Linked DNA regions of Canis lupus familiaris. The protein of the gene in region 1 interacts with the protein of each later gene in a pairwise test. Links are inferred from orthologs where the notes say so. Each region holds a gene or a part of one and is shown in the gene's direction. Other genes may lie near its edges.

Region 1 (4,297 bases):
TTCTGTAGTCATAGGGGCCCTTTTATTATGTCACTCTAAAAACTTTATAGAGATTTCCATTTTACAGAAAGGAAAAAACAAAGTCCTTACAGCAGCCTACAAATCCTTCAAATCTCTCCCGTCTTTCCTCATTACAGCCCGCCACGGCCTTTGCATGTGTTCCTTCCTCTGCCAGCAAAGCTAACTCCCTCCCTTTAGGTCGCTGCTCAGATGTCACTGAATTAGAGAGGCCTTCCCCCAGGTCACCCCATGTAACACCGTGACATCCATACACTCCCCTCCCCCACAGACACAGAAACACTATCCCCTTTCCTCGCTTTTTCTATTTTAATCAGCAATCTTTATTTTTTAGTTAGCAATCTTTAAATAACATAAAGATTCATTGTTTTATTCCCCCCCATTGTGGTATAAAGCCCATGAGGGCAGGAACTCACGTGTCCAGTGCCCTCTGCCCCAGTGCCTAGCACAGTGCTGGGCTGATGCAGTGTTCAGCACAGGTCCAGTGGTTCCAATTGTCCATCTGCGCTACGGCCCCAAGGACCTCTGAACGGCTTGTCACCAAGCTCCTTTCCTTGAGCTCCTTTTGTCATAATTTGGGAAACATTTACAACCAAGAGACAACAGCCCCCACAATGAAGGACCTCGAATCCCGCGCCCCCGCCCCCCTCCCCCATCTGTAGAAATAAACAAAAGAGACATCAGATGAGCAGCTCGCGAGGGCCTTAGCAGCTCAACAATTCTGTGACGCTGTCTGGCCAGGTTTGTGAGACCGTCAAGCTCAGTCTGAGTGAGGAGGCAGGAAGTTGGAAACCAGCGTGGAAGGAACTGAGAGGAACATGCTCCGGCCTGGTTAAAAACACGTGCTCAGGCCTTCACCTTCTCTGTGTCGAAAGGCCACGGCTTTTAACCGTCCTCGCCCGGGGAGGGCGCTGAGGGCCTGCCAGGACCTCCCGAGGCAGCGCCGACGAACGGAGACCATGGGACCCGGGAGTCTTCCTCAACAGGGGCTCCACCTGCGTGTTGGTTCTTTGTTAGCCAACTGCGCTCAGCCCCCGACCGTGAATATTCTGCTCAGAAAACGCACTTCGGTGTGAACCAAGCGTAGCAGGGAGTGCTTTAACCTGACTGGGACCTCGTCCGCCGACCACCTCCCGAGAGAACCGACAAGGAGCATCCATCATGGCTGCCGGCAACAGCGCAGCGAGAGGCAACCGAAAGAAAATGGCGCCGGGGCGCGCGGCCGGTGACGGCAGGCCCAGGCCGGCGGAGCGACCCAGGGACGCCATCCAGGAACCCTGAAGACCCGCCTGGACCCAAGGCGCCGGGAAACCCTGACACTTCACGACTGCAATATGGAGGACGGTTATTGTGTCTGCAAACCAACTTGCACAAGGAGGCCCGTGTTCCGTCCCGCGTTCGGAACCCGGCAAAATCTTCTATTCTCCAAACAGAATGCGTTACGCACACTGCGCATCTTCGCAATAGTGGGCCGGGTAACGACGCAAAGAATGTTACGTCGCACCGGAGGCTCTTCCCCTCACCCCACCCCACGTTCTAGTTCAGGTGGCGCGAGCACTCTACGCCCGCTTCGTACTTTATTTTTCTTCTACGGACTGCAACATGTGCCGGTCTGCGCAACTGACGTAAATGGCTTCCAAGAATGCCCTTAGTACTCCGCCAAGCCCTCGGGCTATTCCAAGACGCTGTTTACGTATCGTCTCCGACGTACGTAGCGTTAAGCTGGAGCAGTCTCAGCGCCGGCCGCCATTTTGTGCAGTCGCTGGGAAGGAAGGAGACGCCTAAACCGCGGCACTGCCGGGTTTGAGCGTAGCCAAACCTACCCACAGTTTTTATAACCCCGATTCTCTGTGTTTTGCTCCCGTCTCCGACGAGAGAGGCGGCGACGGTGGCGTCTGCGACGGGAGACAGCGCGTCGGAGCGAGAGAGCGCCGCGCCTGCCGCCGCCCCAACAGCGGAGGCGCCGCCGCCATCGGTCGTCACCAGACCGGAGCCGCAGGCCCTCCCGAGCCCGGCCATCCGTGCCCCGCTCCCAGATCTCTATCCGTTTGGGACCATGCGCGGAGGCGGCTTTGGGGACCGGGACCGGGATCGTGACCGTGGAGGGTAAGGGGGGAGGGGGAGAGGGAAGGCCTCGCGTGTGCGTGGGCCGGGGGGAGGGGGAAGGTTGTTTCCTGAGGAGACCGCAGCCTGCCGCCGAGCGGGAGACCTGGAGCGGACTGCAGGCCTGGGAGCGACGCCCCCGACTCCGGGAGGCGAGGCGACCTGGGACATAATAGCGGTTTGGTGTGCGGGCCTGCGGGTGGGCCTGCGCCCCGGGATCACGGGAGACCCGGCGTGGGGGGGCGGCCTGGCGACGCCCCAGCCCCTCCTTTCGGACCGCAGTCGTGGCGGGGAGCCGGAGCGGCGGCCCGAGCGCCGCAGACCCAGCCTGGCCTCGCCTCGCCGCCCGGCTGCCGGGCCCGGCCGATTTGGGCAAGTCATTTGATCTCTCCAGGCCTCAGCGCTCATCTGTAAAACACGGATGTTCTTGCTGAGAAGAGGAGGAGGTCTCCGAGTTCGGCCTGGGAAAATCTTGACGCCAAATGGCTTCCCTTATCTTATCTGTCGCCAGAGATAACTGCTAAAGGAACTGGAAATCGAGTTGGAAACTAGACGCCAAATGGCTGATTTCTAGTTTTAAATGTATCTTAAAATCCCCTTTAGTGGTATTTCAGATAATTCGAAGGAAGCACTTTGGACAGTAAAGCAGTGGAATTGTTTGCCATCTAAATGATCTTATTTGAGGAGGGGAGGGAGGGTTTTTTGTGGGTTTTTTTGTTTGTTTTTTTTTTGGTTACTGTAGGGTTCCCTCCCACCCTGTGTTCTGTTCTTCTCCAGTTGGACTGGAGTATTAGTTGCTCGGCCTGGTTAGAAAGTTTCGATGCGATAATGCCACGGCTGAAAGTTAACAAGATTAAAGTTCTTCCCAGATACTGAGATTCAGATCTTAACATAAGTTAAAGGGAAAAGTTGCCTAAGAGATGCGAATGTTCGTGCTGTTAACTTTTTGTAATAAAGGTCTTATCTCTGGATAAATAATAATGGAACGCCAGTTATTAATATATATACATATGTGACCTTGGGCAAGATCCTGGACCTTTTTGTGAGCCTATTTTCTCAACTGAAGATGGGCATAATAATTGCCTTTACTTTGCATTGTTTTCGGGAATTGAGATCTATGTAAAATTGTGTCTTTGTGATAGGTGTTCTGTTGATATTTTCTCCAAACATTTTTGTCTTTTGCGGTTCAAATACAGAAGTCCCAGACCTCTAGTCATAAGCACCTCAATTCACTTGAATTGCCGAATAAAAAGGATTATTTTGTTTATACCTTGTTAGAAAAGAAAATATTTGATCTTAGTGTTAAATTTGGAGGGCTAGAAGTGGAATGTTTGCTTAGAGTTTCACAGTATAGCTCAATTTAGAAGTGAATTTCAGTGCAACCACTTGAGACAAAGAATTTTTGACATTACCTAGTAGAAAATGACCCAATAATTCCTTTCTTAAGCTTTGTACCCTAGACACAAGCCTAGAGAAATCATTGTACGTGTTCCCCAGCATTCATGTACAAAAAATGTTCATACCAGCACTGTTCATGAAAATATTGGGAACCACTCTTCTGTCTAGATAAAGGGTGGGTATTCATTACAGTAGAATGTAACACAACCGTGGAAGAAAAAAAAAAAAAACTTGCATCAAAATGGATGACCAGCAAACATTGAAAAAGCAAGTTGTGGTAAAAGGATACGTATATGACCGGACTCCAAAAAGCAAAAATCAAGATGGTAGTTGTAGTGGGTTTGTAAACTTGAAATAGGCACAGAGGGCTACCAAGGTACTGATCATGTTCTGTTTCTTTACCATACCATAGGTGTTTGGTTTAATACTTAATTTCACCATATACATGTTTTAACAAATTATTTGAAAAGAAGAAAAAGTAAATTACTGATCCATATTTCTACCCCATATTGACTATCAGATGACATTTTTTTTAAAGCTTTAAACTTTTCACACAAAATGGCACTTTTTCATGATGTTTGTGTCCTAATTCTACATTTACCATGAAATTGCATTTATGATTTTGAGTTACTATATTCTTAACAATTACAGAGCCGAAATAGATTATTTTGAAGAGAATAAAAGTGAGGTTAGTGTATATGTGTACATGTAAAATCCAAAAGTGATGTGCCTTGTACATTTAAACTAGCATGATATTGCACATTAATATAAATCTTCA
Region 2 (2,711 bases), on another chromosome or scaffold:
TGCCTGGAAGTTCTGACAGCAGGTCCTCCTCTTCCTCAGCCACATCAGACACTGCCACCTCTACTCAGAGGCCACTTAGGAACCTTGTGTCCTATTTAAAGCAAAAGCAGGCCGCTGGGGTGATAAGCCTTCCCGTGGGGGGCAACAAAGACAAGGAAAACACCGGGGTCCTACATGCTTTCCCACCCTGTGAGTTCTCCCAGCAGTTCCTGGATTCCCCTGCCAAGGCACTGGCCAAATCTGAAGAAGATTACCTGGTCATGATCATTGTCCGTGGTGCGTCCTAAAGTCCATGTATAACTTGTATTTACTACTTTGACATGGTTCCTGTTTTGTGATGTGTAATGGGATACAGCATCAGATGAAATTTTCTTTTGAGTTAGTTTGTTTAGTTGAAGCTTTTTTTCTTTTTTTTATATTTTTATAAACCTTTGAAATAGAAGACAGGACAGTTTAGCTATTAAGTGAAAGGGATGCCCTGAAGGTAGCAGGCAGATGGATTTATTTTAATTAGGAGTTCCTACTCTTAGTAACTTCTTTTCCCCTTCTTTTTCTTGTTGTGTTTTTTTTCCCCCCCCTTAACCTTGAGCTTAAAAAAAATCCTCAGAGTTACAAACCCAAAATTTTGAAAAGTCAGGATTCGGAGAAAAGCCCACTGACTATATAAAGAAGATAATATACATCTAAAAAGGGCTTGATTGGTATGTAGGTAAATAATTCTTGTACCAGAAATATCATTTGTGTGGCTGAAATTTGATCAGGAATCTTAAAAGTACAAGCTGGTAAATTGTATAGCAATATTAATTATTTTAATCAGGTATTTGAGTATTTCTCTTGATATACATGGTTTATTCCCGGAGAGTTTGCTTTAACATAAACCTTTTTATCATTAGTTCTTAAGTTCTGTATCCCGTATATGCACTTTTGGTTTGTAGCTGTAACTGTTCAGTAAAAATCGAGGAGTAGGTTACAAACCATATATGTCTTATGCTAGTATGCAAGAAGTGAGTAGGTGTTTTTAAAATCAGAATTCTTTGGTTATTGGTGTGTGGTGGTGTTTTTACTGACTTTCAGAGAGGTATAGCAGGTACAGTTCTAATTTGTGCATATTTCAAAACTTTAGTGTTTTTCATCAAAGATGAATTTTTTTTGTATCCATGCAAATTTCTGATTTCAATAATAGAAAGAAGAGTTGTCTGCAGGCTCATAAGTCAGCTTTTTGTTTTAGTGGGCATTAATCAGCCATATCTGGATTGCAGAAATTTTTAAAGTCATCGTGAAATGCCTTTGACATGCTTCTTAAATTTTGCCTGTATTTTTATTTTCATTTTTAAACAGCGGTGACATTACATTATTGAAAATGTTGAGTATCTCTCAAGTTCTGTGTTTAATATTTTCACTGATGTCCAAACTGAAATGTCAGTATAGGAAAACCCCCTTTTATTGTTTTATTTCCCAGACAACTGAAATTAATACAAAATAATTTAACCCACCCTCACAATTTTTTTCAAAGCTAAAGGTTAAATCGATTTCTGGTTCTTAACAAGGGTTTTTGCTGCAGAACAGTAATGGATGATTTTTTTTAATTTTTTAAAAAATTTTATTATTATTATTATTATTTTTTTTTTTTGGTCTTATTTTTTTGATCTGTCCCTCTGTCCTCACCCCTAGTTTCTCAGGTCATTAGTAAGTATAGTTCCCCCTTTGATTTAAATGCTGAGGACTTTAAGGCCCTTGATATTTAATTATGATTAGAAACTCTAGGACCTTTTGGATCATGGTCATGTTTCTATTCTGTGAAAGTGACTTATAGAAAGCCTGGCAGAACTCAACTGTTTTCTTTCTGTTATCAAAGCTGGTAGTTTTGAAATAGCACCAATAATAACCCAGGGAAGTGTCATGTAATTTTTTTATTTTCCATTATGACAGGTGTCTAATGCATGTCAGCATGAAATCTTCATCACTGCTGTATCATCCTTTTTGGTTTTCACTATGCATTTATAAATTTTAAGTTGGGAGGTTTTTGTGGGGGTTTCGTTTTGTTTTGTTTTTAAACTGGAAAAACTAGCTATTTTGACAAAAGGAAGGTACTAGGCTATGAGCACAAAAGTCCGTCTGCCTGTAGGGAAAATATCTGAAATCCTACAAGTAGGACTTCGTGCTTTTTGCTTTTAAAAAGCTGTGCTTGGCACGCTAATATGGAGGAGACTGTTCAGAAACTAATGTGAGTTTGCAGTCTGTGCATACGTGGGGTCAAAGTACAGTTTGGCTAGATACATTTTTCCAGTTTAAATAATCTCACTAACCATTAACTTTTGAATATCTTTTGATAAGAAGGCTGGACAAATGATTTTGCTCTTCTAGAGAGTGAAGTCCACAACATTTAATTTTGCTCTAATCCAAAGTGTGGTGTTTCCCTTTTTCTTCTTTTCTTTTCTTTTCTTTTCTGTTGATGTGATAACTTACCGAAGAGTACTGTGGTTTTTGCTCCATGTTTGTTTATTTGAATCTATCTGACATGGCGGATTTTGTTAGATATGGGCAATTTGTGCTTCTGTGTTTTTGAAACAATGGCTTGATACCATTTTTAAATGTATGTATTAGAAATAACTAATTATGTTGAGTTTGGTGCTTACCTACAGAGTGCCATCATTCAGATGAATCTCTCATTTGTGTTGCCCATTCTGTTGTGCAGGTTCATAATACTGTTT

Evidence for each region.
Region 2: the proteins of DDX17 (region 1) and RBM15 interact in binary tests that used the Homo sapiens proteins (3 or more experiments, as listed by UniProt). The link is inferred for Canis lupus familiaris from reciprocal best matches to the Homo sapiens genes DDX17 and RBM15.

Annotation. Positions count from the first base shown.
Region 1 is NC_049231.1:27,281,363-27,285,659, forward strand, and holds the start of DDX17 (probable ATP-dependent RNA helicase DDX17), read left to right. Parts: upstream 1-1,352; coding exon 1,353-1,493; intron 1,494-1,831; coding exon 1,832-2,124; intron 2,125-4,297. UniProt on the Homo sapiens protein: As an RNA helicase, unwinds RNA and alters RNA structures through ATP binding and hydrolysis.
Region 2 is NC_049227.1:42,105,242-42,107,952, reverse strand, and holds part of RBM15 (RNA-binding protein 15), read left to right. Parts: coding exon 1-276; intron 277-2,711. UniProt on the Homo sapiens protein: RNA-binding protein that acts as a key regulator of N6-methyladenosine (m6A) methylation of RNAs, thereby regulating different processes, such as hematopoietic cell homeostasis, alternative splicing of mRNAs and X chromosome inactivation mediated by Xist RNA.